3 linked regions of the Drosophila melanogaster genome follow. The protein of the gene in region 1 interacts with the protein of each later gene in a pairwise test. Each region holds a gene or a part of one and is shown in the gene's direction. Other genes may lie near its edges. The genes, in order: Arp10, CG3706 and Cdc6.

What was found.
Region 2: the proteins of Arp10 (region 1) and CG3706 interact in a two-hybrid assay, tested with the Drosophila melanogaster proteins (one large-scale study listed by BioGRID).
Region 3: the proteins of Arp10 (region 1) and Cdc6 interact in a two-hybrid assay, tested with the Drosophila melanogaster proteins (one large-scale study listed by BioGRID).

What each region holds. Positions count from the first base shown.
Region 1 is NC_004354.4:19,644,031-19,647,851, reverse strand, and holds Arp10 (Actin-related protein 10), read left to right. Parts: upstream 1-1,675; 5' UTR 1,676-1,935; coding exon 1,936-2,006; intron 2,007-2,066; coding exon 2,067-2,219; intron 2,220-2,269; coding exon 2,270-3,182; 3' UTR 3,183-3,321; downstream 3,322-3,821. Other genes in the region: Ranbp21, read left to right, coding at 1-277; Sec61gamma (Sec61 gamma subunit), read right to left, coding at 3,759-3,821.
Region 2 is NC_004354.4:930,404-934,350, reverse strand, and holds CG3706 (uncharacterized protein), read left to right. Parts: upstream 1-1,875; 5' UTR 1,876-1,988; coding exon 1,989-3,323; 3' UTR 3,324-3,420; downstream 3,421-3,947. Other genes in the region: CG32815 (uncharacterized protein), read right to left, coding at 1-812.
Region 3 is NT_037436.4:8,630,978-8,635,686, reverse strand, and holds Cdc6 (cell division cycle 6), read left to right. Parts: upstream 1-1,617; 5' UTR 1,618-1,737; coding exon 1,738-3,307; intron 3,308-3,385; coding exon 3,386-3,804; 3' UTR 3,805-4,178; downstream 4,179-4,709. Other genes in the region: Zasp66 (Z band alternatively spliced PDZ-motif protein 66), read right to left, coding at 1-6, 606-685, 904-1,104.

The sequences.
Region 1 (3,821 bases):
CGTGAATGCGGCCGACATTCAAAAGTTCGACGAAAAGATTGCCGTGGCGCCCGTCAAGGGCAACAAAGTGGATCGCGCCAAGAAGGACATCTTCAAAAAGCTGACCGCCCAGCTGGTCGGACGCAGCGTGAACCAGTTGTTCCGGCACGAGGTGCAGATAGCCAATCTGCCGCCCATGCAGTCGCACAAGGCCAAGGGATCCATGGGCACCACGGCTGACATCATGGATAGCAATCAGAACGCGAGTCTGGCCAGGCTCTTTGGGCCGGAGAAGTGACACGGAGCGCAGCGGAAGCAGAAAACGAGATACACAAACGAACAGGAACAGGATAGGAGAAGCAGGAGGAGGCGTCGCAGCGGAGGCGGCGCCACCAGTGACACCACCTCTGTCCTGGTCGAGGACCGGGATCAGGAGCATGTCGAGACCACGGCCACCTCAGCTGCCAAACTAGCGACGACTGAACTGAATGTAACTGTAAATTAGCTTAGACGATGAGTTCGCACTTTTTCTCGCCCTTGTCCAAGACCATGACCCAGTCCGTGTCCCAGTCCCAGTCCCAGTTCCCAATCAGATCTTACAGTTATTAATTTATTTATTTTAACAACTAAATTTTAAGCGTACCCGCAATGAAGCAATTTTTTATTGAATTTGTCTCATGCGGGCATCGCAACCGCTTCGATCCGAACCGTTTCCCCCCCAGTTTCTGGAGGAAAATGGTGACTCGTGACTTGTTACTGCTTTGTTATTTATTATTCGAAATTTGTTAAACTTGTTTGCTCAAAGGAACTACTAGAATCGCTAGTTAGCAATACTCCGGCCCACAACCGTCAATCCGCAATCCTTAGCCCTCGTCCTATGGCCCCAGGTCCCAGGTGCTTCGCAGAGACGCCAGAAGACCATTTTATACATAGTTAATTAATTAATTATTTAATGAATTGTGCTTTCCTCGTTTTGTATAGTTACCTATGCGCAGGCATAATGTAATTTATATAATTGTACACATTTATCATTTGAAGGAATATTTCTGAAATTACGCTTAGGTTTAGTTGATAGGCAAAAGTTATTATTATATAATACATCAAATTGTATATGATCACACATCCCGCACCGCGAATGCATCATGCATTATGCAGTATAATAATTATAGCCCAAAAACACACCAGGATACTAAGAAAACATAATGAAATCGAAGCGGTCGACCGTGCAAAAACACAAATCGAAATAAGATAAAGCAGATAAATTTGAAATAAATTTAAAAATTCAAAGTGGAACCGACTTGTTTTAGTAATACGCAATATAATAATTTCAAACAGGACGATATCCATGCAAGAAAACATCACTGTGGACGGCAGTTAATGTAGTGACGAAGCGCGCCCGGAGACTTTGCGATTATATTGAACAAAAGTTGTTCTTAAGATATATGAATTTAATTTCACAAGAATCATTATAATTATTAGCTTCAAACTCGCGAAATTAACTTCTTAAATTCGATAAAGTAGTTTTGTAAACTTACTGAAAAGCATACATATGTATGTACACTGCAATAAACTAAAGTAAAGTTGATTCTATTTGTACGTAAGAGTTAGACCTCTTAAAAGCAGAATAATCGACTGACACCAAATGATTCCGAGCTACTTTCAAAATTTTATCTTGTTGGGTTTTAAAAGCCATAAAATACCAAAATACCAAATTGAATGTATTTCAAACCAATAGGCAAAGTTTTAAAGTTACCCAGAAATTTGAAAAGCGTGCCAGTAAAACGGATGCCATTAGTGGAAACAGGGTGTTTGCTCGCTACATCGTCAATCGATGATTTCCGCACACCGATAACTTCTTGTTTTGGCCAAAAATTAAGCGAACTGAACAATATACCATTCCATGGTCTAGTCGGTTCGTCCAGCAAAGGAGCAAGCAGCCAGCAGACAGCAGCCAAGATGCCCATTTACGAGAGCGTGATGCAGGAGAAGCCGCCCATTGTCCTCGACATTGGCACCGCCTACACCAAGTAAGCAAACGCAAATAATTCGGCGAAAGTGGTATGAAGTCATCACTGCACCCTTTTCAGGCTGGGATTCGCAGCGGAGGCGTATCCGCGCAAGATCATGCCCACGGAGGTGGTGATGACCACGACGGGGATCCGGAAGCGTCTGTTCGACTACGACACTCCGGAGGAGCTGTACGACCAGCTAGTGGATTTTCTGCAGACGATCTTCTTCAAGTAGGTGACTCGGTGGCTTTGGTTTCTATTGCAATGTAATTTCCTTCTAGGCATCTACTGGTCAGCCCCAAGGAGCGCAAGTTCGTGCTGGTGGAGAACGTGTTCGGATCCACTGTGCTGCGTGAAACCTTGGCCCGCGTGCTCTTTGTCCACTTCGACGTCTCCTCCGTGCTGTTCGTGCCCGTGCATCTCATTGCGCTGTCTACGCTGGCAGTGCCCACTGCCCTTGTGGTGGACGTTGGCTACAGCGAGACCAGCGTTATGCCCGTCTTCAGCGGGGTGCAAATCATGGCCGCCTTCAAGGATCAGAGCTACGGAGGCAGCGCCATCCACGCGGAGATCAAGCGGCAGCTGGTTGAGAGTGGCGTTAAGGAGAGCCTGCTAACAGAAAGCGTGCTGGAGGACATCAAGGTGCGAACCTGCTTTGTGACCACCATGGAAAGAGCCAAGGCCCGCGCCAACGGCGACGAGAATCAGCCGACTCCCGCGCCAGACGTGGACTACATTGTCAGCGACAACGATGCGGTCATCCAGGTGCCCGGCCTCCTGCGGGAGTCTGCCTACGAGATCATGTTCGAGGCCAGCAACGAGCGGGACAGCCTGCCGCATCTCATCCTGCGCTCCATTCTCGACTGCACACTAGACGTGCGACGTGCCCTGGTCGAGAGTGTGTTCCTCGTGGGCGGCGGCTCAATGGTCCAGGGTCTGCTGGCCCGCCTCCGCCAGGAGCTGCAGCATCTGCTCACCGAGGATCCGTTCTACGCCGAACGCTTCCATGGCGAGCTGCAGTTCAAGTTTTTCAATGCTGTCGGCAAGCAAAACTTTACTGCCTGGCTGGGCGGCGCCTTGTGCGGCGCGACGGATCTCATCCAGACACGATCGCTGGTCAAGGAGACGTATCTAAAGAGCGAGCACGTTCCCGACTGGAGCAACCTGTGCGATAATAGGCCGACAGGCTCGTAGACTCGAGGGCAGTCCCGGAAGATGGAAATATGTACGCTTCGGCGCTTTACTGGTTACGCGTACTAACATACTCTTGATTATTATTCTGTAATATATAGGTATTAAATATTTACGAAATATAGGCTAACGAGCTTTAAACAAAATATTGCTTGTACGTTTTCTGGACATTTATTCTTGGTTCTAATGATGATGTCGGTTTATCAGCTTCATTTACAACTTTACTTTCTTCAAGCAATGTAACGTTGCGTCTCTCAGAGTTAAAAGAATCTCATTTGTACACGGAAAATCAATTTAACATTTATTAGCGGGGATGCGCACCCCAAACAAATGCTATGAAGACGGGTGATTCCTTTTTACATTTGAATCTTATTAACTAACTTGTTCATGAATGGAATATCGAAACATTACAATACGTTTTCGTACGTTTGTGTAGAATTTTGTTAGAAAGGCATTCGCTGAATGCACATGGTCCATACATATAATGCATGTTAACTAAACGAAAAAAAAAGACGTTGATCTGATGTATGCTATAATGGATGATTGGATGATTGGTGGTTTCCTTGCCACTCAGCGCATTTAAGAGCCCACGATGATATTGTTGATGGGGATGTGTATCAACTTAACGAAGAAGCCGATGAA
Region 2 (3,947 bases), about 19 Mb from region 1:
TCCGTGCCCGCCTGTACCTGCAGCCTGGAGTTTTGGCCTCCTCCGGCCTGGATCTGCGGCCCCTGGACTTTGGCCAGCACTGGCGGCATTATGGGCTTCTTGGCGGCGGACTTGAGTAGGGGCACCTGGATGATGCGGGTGGTGATCGTGGTCGCCGGCGGAGGCGGCGGCGGGGCCGGGTACCTCGGAGTGGTCACCGGCGGCTCCCTGGTTGTCGTAGTGGTGGTGCTTGTGCTTGTGGGGGCTGGAGCGGTTGTCGTCGTCGTTGTGGTGGAGGTGCTGCTGCTGCTGCTGGAACTGGTGGCCACGATGTTGGGGCCAGTGGTGGTGCTCCTGGTGGTGCTAGCACTCGGATTGGTTTTGTTCACCCGAATTACGAACTGCTCAATGCCATTCCGGTTCACAATTTTCACATTCCGGCCCACGTTCTGCTGCAGAAAGGGCGATCCTGTGGGCAGTATGGAGGAAGTGCCAGCCGAATCTCCACCGCCTGGCTGCGGACTGTGGATCAGGGCCGCCTTGGTCTTCAAGAACCATTCTGCGGGGTTCGGCAGACATTCGGCGGACACAAGGAAGGGTATGAGCACGGCGCCAATGATCACGGTGCACACGAAGATCAAGCCCAAGTAGGCGAAGAAGGATCGCCGGCGTCGCTGGCCCTTGGCCTTGACGGAGGCGGTGGAGGAGGCTCCCCCGCCGGCGGAGCCCGATCGTCCCGAGCCCGAGAGCTTGCCCTCGATGCGGAAGTCGTCGTTCTGGGGCAGAATCGTGTACTGCAAGCTGTTCTCCCCGTGCCTGATGGTCTTGTACATCTTGTCCTGTTCTTCGTATGCGCTTGGGATGCTTCCGCGGCTGCCTCGATCCTCTGGAGCTTTCTTCCCTGGACCTGACTGGTTCACCTGGCTGCTCAGAGCCTCAGATGGGCCCTGGTCCAAAAGAGTTTGGTTATTCGAGTCACAACTGCCTCCACTTCCGCGACCCCCCCCCCCCCCCTCCTCCAACACTTTTCCCAGTTGTTACCTTTGCGACAGCAAATCCTCAATGTTCACTCTTGCGGGCTGCAGACCTGGTAGCTGCGTATCCTCTGTCCTCGAAGCTCCTGCCAATCGAATGTGGCTTTCTCGGCCTCAACGGAAGGTGCTGTGCGTTCTGTTGGAGTCCTTGGGGAATATTGTTTTTGTCCTGTTCCTGTTCCTGCTGCTGATGCTGATGCTCCTTGCGCACTAAATTTTATGTTTTTATTGATTAGGCGCTTGTTGTTTTCCGGCGCAGGCGCGATTTCCGAGTGTTGGCAAGTGCTCTTCGCGTCCCTTAAGGACATTTTCTAGTGTTGGCAATGGGAGTCTGGCACTTGAAGCACTTGAATCGAATTCTAACGGCTAGGTTTCAGCACTCCAGCTAGTTTTCACATCCATCGACTTGGAAAATCTCTCTTTTGGCGAGATTGTCAGCTCCAGAGCCCCACTACATCCAGTCGGGTCACATCCAAGTACCCACGAACACATTTGCTGAAGCACTCGGTCTATGCAATTTTTTATCTTGGCCAATCGTTGTGGAACTTCTACGCAAGCAGACTTTGCACCAGAAGATAGCCTGCACCACGGCTATCTGGAGCTGGCTATCGGCCGCTCCTGGCGACGATGACGATGACGAGTCCAGCTAATGTATCAATCAGAAATCGCGAGCGCAGACAGATCCAGATTTAGCGAGCTAGTCATGCATCGCCGCAAAGCCCGTCGATTCCGACCCGATAAGCCCAGTCCGAGGAGGTGGGGCCGAAAAGTGGGTTTAGACGGTGGCGGCTTATCGAGTGGCGATAAGCGGGACACAAGACCCACTTCCCCACACATTGTCCAGTGCAGGCCTCGCAGTCGCGTCCAATTGGCCAAGCCGTTCGGTAACGGAGCATTTTTGACGAGGATCGACATTCCGCGGAACTCCAAAGAGGATTTAATTTTGAACAGATTTTGAGCATCTTGGGACACAACATGATCGCAGCGCTCGGGCTGATCTTCGGCATTCTAACGGCCTTGGTGGTCGTGGCACTTAAGCTACTGGGCCTGAAGCCGCCACTAATCTTCGGCAAGTACCCACTGAAAGGCATCTTTTACCGGGTGAAGTTCTGGATCGCCCTGCTTGTCCTTCGCCGCCTGAGGTACCGCATCTACCGTCGGAACGAGGAGCTGCTCGGCTCCGAGGAGCACCTGGCCAAGGTCGACAGGCCGCAGCAGCTCAGCAACGACCCGAAGAGCTATGACGTGGTCAGCTTCATGGCGGCCAACAAGGAGGGCCAGAAACTAATGGTCACCTTGGAGCGAAGGAGGCGCGGAGTCCTCAAGGCGGCACTGTACCTGTGGCTTCCCGAAAGCGGCCTGTTCAGTTCGCCGAATCTGCCCGATATGGTATACTTCACCACCGCGGATGGAGCGGAGAGCAACGCGTTCCAGGGTGGAGGCTTCCACGTCTACCAGGAGGCATCTATGCGTGTGTGGCGGCTCAAGTACTCCGGACTGCTGAAAACTCAAGGGCCGGACGTGCAGGACGTAGCCGTGGACTTGGACCTCCGTTTCGAAAGCTCCTCCGCTGAGCACTTCGACTACAACAGAGATCTGAGCAGCGCCCTGATAGCCGACTCCATAGCCAGAGAGGCCTGGAACGAAAAGTTCTACAGCCTGCTGCGCAGCGTCAACCACATCGTAGAGAAGCGCACCCACTACGAACAGAACGGAGAACTGGCCGGCCAGGTCACGCTCGATGGCAAGGAGCTGGCGCTGAAAATGGTGGGCTTCCGGGACCACAGCTTCGGCACCGAGCGCTGCCTAAGCTCCATCAACCGGTACGTGTACTTTGCCCTCTTTATGGACGATGGCAGCAGCATGGTGGTGGGCAGCCTCAGTCAGCCGTCCTTCTTCCTGTCCTCCCTGAAGGTGGGCTACGTGTGCAGCCCCGAGCGGCAGTATCAGCCGCTGACCGGGAGCAACTTCGAGCTGTACTCGTACGGCGAAAAGGGAACGCCGCCGCAGCACCAGAATTTCATTGTGCGCACCGAGGAGCGGGAGTACCTCGTGCAAATCCAGGTGGAGGCCTCCGCGCTGCGCTACGTCGGCGGCGACTGGGAGTCTAAGGTGTTCAACCAGTTTGTGGCCTGCACGGTCAACGGAGTTCCCGGCCAGGGCCACGCCGAGTTCCTGTACCGCCACAAGGGCGGCAGGCCGGAGGATATATCGTCCGGGGACCCCGGCTGGTACCAGGACATCAAGCGCTTCGAGAGAAGCCTCTCGTTGCTGGAAGAGGAGGGCCAGGACGAAGACTTCATCTTCTAGGACGCCGACGAATTGTTTTTGTTTTCAGTTTAAGATAGCATGTAAAAGTATGGGGGAGACCCATCCTATCAAAATAAAGAGATTTTGTTTGAATGACATTCGAGATTCTGAAGTCATTGGCCGCGCTGATGTCATCGGTAAGTCCAAACTAATTCAGTTAACCAACAATCCAACAGCAATATCCACTGGAGGCCATCCGGTGCAGCTGCAATCTGGTGGACTCGGGTCGATGAGGAAGATTACCGAATCGCTGGTGGAGGAATTGGACCCCCCGTGAGGATTAGTCGCCCATAAATTAGCATGCGACAGACGAACGGATTAGATTGGACAGCTACTTCGGTTTTTCTCCCAATAAATAATGGCGATTCGGGCCATCGGTTTATGGCACCCAAAAGACAACGGGCCCCACTTATCGCTCCGTCGGGCCAATAAAACCCAAGACCAGGCACCAAGACTGGGCCCAAGTGCCCAGGTGTCGCAGATAAGAGGCGAGCGGCGGGGCAGATAGCTTCAATCCAACAAAATAAACCATGCTCGGGATCTGAATGGAGCATTATGCTGCCGTCCGGTTCCGACCTGCCGCAATGTCAGCTTATGGTGGGCCGATAAGTGCCGGGCATGACC
Region 3 (4,709 bases), on another chromosome or scaffold:
GCGAAGCTACAACAATATACATAGAATATATATAGGATATATAGAGAGTGGTATATTTATATATGTAAATGTATATAAATGCATGTAAAACAGAGATCCGGCAGTAGGCAGTAGTAAGTAGTACGTACAACATCTATGGACTGGTTTTCGTGTTCAATCGTATGTTCGAATTGTGTGTGTTTCTCATTTCGTGTGTGCATCGGTTTAGTAAATTTCGTTTCGACTTTGATTTTGTGGCTTTTGGGTTAGTGGATTATGGCCGCAGCTTAACCAGGAACCAATTTTTCGGGTTATGTGGACCTTAGGCTACTCGTAACCGTGTGTTCGTGACTCGTTTTATTAGTTTTCAAGCTACTTGGCGCATTTCGAGTGGCTCTCTCTGTCTCTCTGGCAAAAAGAAAAGCTGCATCAAAAATTTCGAAGAACTCTACGCAGGTTTATTCGTAAATTGCAAAATCCAAAGAATATGTAGCGTAATTCATAGGCTTATAAGTTCAATTTGACAAGCGAATTCCAAAAGTTCATATATTAGTGTTTTTTTTTTTTCATTGTATCGAGCTAAGCATAGGAGTTTCCAGATGGTACATTTCTGGGTGACAACTTACGGAACTGTGGATCTGATGGTGTCCTCGATGTTGTTGTTGGAGTACAGGCCAATGGGCGAGTTGAATTGCTTGTGGAAGACCTAAAATCGGGGGATATATGTACACAAATGTAAGTAAAACCCATTACAACTTACACTTAAATTAAATACAATCAATTTCGTAACAGGATTAGAACAAAGACTACAGGTCACGAATTCGAAATGTTAACATTGAAAATATCAATTTTAAATGTAGAAAACTCTAGTTTTTGTAATTTTCCATTATGTGGGTGTGACTTTAAGAAGTCCCCTGTACTTACGCGGCCAGTGTCGGCTTCCGAACCGACCACCTTGTGCAGCATGGTGTCGGCCACGCGCTGCTTCATGATACTGTCATGGTAGTCGTGTCCTGGGTGGGCGCGCACAGCCGGGTTGGGGTAGTGCCTCAAGTAGGACTCTGTCGTGGGCGCATCCTTCTTCACTTTGGCGCCGGGCAGGACCAGCGGAGTTGTACGGTAGGGCTGGAAAGCGGATCGGTGAAGATTAACGACTTTGTTTACGCCGAAATGGGGCACACATTTGGCCGACCAGCCGTTGCGGCAAATGATAATATAAATAAATCAGACAGAGATTAAAAGAGTTTCTAGAAATCACCAGATCTTTGCCCACTGTGCTACGTATTTCTCCTTCGAGCGTGTGTGTGCATAATTTTTTTCGCTATATCTAAATTCCATTTTATGTGCGCCCGTTTATATACTTTAAAAATATCCCATAGCCAGGGGAAATATTTTTAGGCGCTTACGTAAGCGTGTTCAACGTCCAGCGATTTGTGTTTTCTATCTGCCGCGGACCATTTTATTTTTACCAGGCCGTCCACACGCGAGTATGTAAGTAATTCAATATAGGCGGACTGCTGTTTGAAATGTTGTAACTATGCGCGCCTAATCGATAGGCGATCGACAATAGGCAGCTCTGGGCTAGAGCTGCCAGATGACCAGACCAGGCTTGATCAGCTGTTGCTCGTGGCGAATGGCAAACTCAATTTGCGCGCTTTTTTAACTGTGACTGCCAGCTGAAAATTGTAACGCACGCTGTGGCTTATTTAACTCGTATTTAATAGTAACTAACTGCTGATCAATAAACTAAGCTAAAGAATGGCTGCCGTACGCCGCTCCACGCGCCTTAGTAGCATCAGCAAAGCGACCGCCGCCTCTCCGCTGCCGCCGTCGACGCAGACGCCGCGTCGCTCGGAAGTTTGGAAACGCAGGCAGCCGAAAAAAGTGCTTGCCGATAGCGACGAGGAGGAGGAGGTGGTGACGGCGATCTATGACCTGACCAGCCCCGTTTCAGAGAACAACGAGAACCGCAACGTGCTCAACAAAATGGACAAGATCTCCAGGCGCAGGACATCGCAAGTGCAGGTGGCTCAATCGGAGCTGCCAAAGACGCCACGCAGCACAAAGAAAACAGTCCAATCAGCTGGCAGTTCACGGGCCAAACGTGAGGAGGAAAACCGTGAGGCCACCGCTAGATTCTTGGAGGGCGAACAGGATTCGGAGGTGGACCCGCTTCATGGATCGCCGCCGAAGCAGAGGAAGTTGCAGCCACTGCCACAGCACCTGATCAGTCCTTCGCGGCTGCTGGACAGACTCAGCATCGACGAGCGCCAGGAGGAAGAGGTGGAGGCGACCACACACAAGACTGAAACGGCTGAGCAGCAGCCGAAACATCAAGCCAAGGACGAGGCAAAGCCTCGGCCAAAACAGCAGGAGGATCCATTAGCGCAAAAGCAGCAGGAGAAACCTCCAACAAAGCAGCCGAATAAAAACCAAACTAAAGAAAAAAGCAATATCCAAACCAATGAGGAAACCCAACAGAATAACCTGCCATCTCCCTCACGCAACAAATACCAAAACGCCAGACGAGTGCTCAACAGCGCCGAGACACAAAACTTGCCAGGACGTGAGTCCCAGCTCCAAGAGCTACGTGAATTCTTCAGCAATCACCTGGAAAGCCAGACTTCCGGCAGCCTCTATGTCTCCGGTCAGCCAGGAACAGGCAAGACCGCCTGCCTATCGCTACTGCTGAGAGATCCCGACTTCTCCAAGCGTCTGCAACGTGTGTACATTAACTGCACCAGCATAGCAAGTGTAGGAGCAGTTTACAAGAAACTATGCACCGAACTGCAGCTCAAAGTCAGCGGTCGCACAGAGAGAGATCACTTGGAGGCCATTCAGCGTCACCTAAAGACAGCAAAGCGAATGCTTCTGCTGGTGCTGGACGAGATTGATCAGCTCTGCACCAGCAGGCAGGAGGTGTTGTACACGATCTTCGAGTGGCCAGCTCTTCCCGGCTCCAGGATACTGCTCGTGGGCATTGCCAATAGTTTGGATCTCACAGATCGTGCGCTGATGCGACTGAATGCAAGGTGCGAGCTGAAGCCCAGACTGATGCACTTCCCGCCCTACTCCAAGCAGCAGATCGTGGAGATATTCAAGTCGCGTCTGGCTGAGGCGGAAGTGCTGGACGTCTTTCCACCCGTGACCCTGCAGCTGCTGGCCGCCAAGGTGAGTGCGATCAGTGGAGATGTGCGAAGGGCCCTGGACATTGGACGACGAGTGGTCGAGATAGCAGAGCAGCAGAAGCGCGATGGCGAAAAGGAGTTCAATATGAAGGCCCTGCAGCTGGAGGGCAAGGATGCGGTGGAGGCCAAGGAAAAGCAAGGTAAACCTTCGTTTCTTTAGTATATAAAGATAAATTTATAGAATGTGTTAAAAAGAAATCCTATCTTGACTATTTCAGACACTCTAAAGCCTGTTCAGGTCACCCAAGTGGCTGCAGTGCTGAACAAGGTCTACGGTGCCTCACAGAATCTGGAGGAGGACATCGAGGCATCATTTCCGCTGCAGCAAAAGCTAATGCTGTGCACCCTGGTGCTGATGCTGCGCAACGAGCGCAACAAAGACATCAGTATGGGTCGCCTGCACGAGGTCTACAGGAGAGTGTGCGCCAAACGCAACATCCTGGCCCTGGACCAAGCGGAGTTCACTGGGACTGTGGATCTGGTCGAGACCCGAGGCATTCTGCGAATCATGCGCAAAAAGGAGCCGCGCCTGCACAAGGTTCTGCTGCAGTGGGACGAGGAGGAGGTGCATGCGGCACTGAGCGACAAGCAGCTGATCGCCTCGATCCTCAGCGATACCGCCTGCCTGAGCAAGTGACGATCTGGACGATTACCTCTAGGAAATGAGTGTGCCCGACAAACCGCTGGTTAATTGCGCATTTTTCTCATTTTCATTCACCTTGGGGACGAACGTATATGTATAGGAATACTTTTTGACGCTAATTTTAAAATTCGTGGCTGGCGCAAGCACTGAAATATTTTGAAATATCATTTGACGGTCACTTTCGACATTTTCTGCTATTTTCTGACTATTAATTGAATCGATTCTTTTAGACTTTGTGTGTGTCATAAATCTAAGTAAATGTTGCGCCCATAATCTATTTCTAATCCGATCCGTTGACCAATAAGTTATAGAGAATCCCCTTCCTGTTAGCCCTAAGCAAATAAGAATAAACTAGATAGTTCCGCAATACATAAAACGCAAAAGTGAAAACGTTTTCCACTTTCGCTGCGCCGCAAGTTTGAATCTTGGGTCGTGCCAAAAGTTGTGAAAATCTTAGGGAAAGTCTGTTGCCATTGTTTTCTGAGGCGTTTTCAGAACATACCAGTCAAATTAACACCAGTGCTTCTGAATTTGTGTGGGCTTTTGTTGGCCATCTCGACATGAAATTAATTTGTTCTATAATCATTTTGTTTATTTATTTGCTGGCTTATTGTTGTTCTTCCTGCGCTCTCTGCTCTAAAAATATCCCCATTTGAGTGGTATGAATTACATTGAGCACCACCGACACAACCAGAGCGCAATGAAAAATATGTTTCAAAAACTCTGGTTGCCTTTCGACGCGTATTGACGAAAGGCGAACAAATGTTTGAATAATAAGCTATATGCAGAGAGGCCAGCTAGATATATGCATGAATGTATCTATAGGTATATGGCGTTCTATATTCCTATTCCTCAAAAATACATATATTTCTGAGGGAGCAGTAAGGCGAAAAACCTCG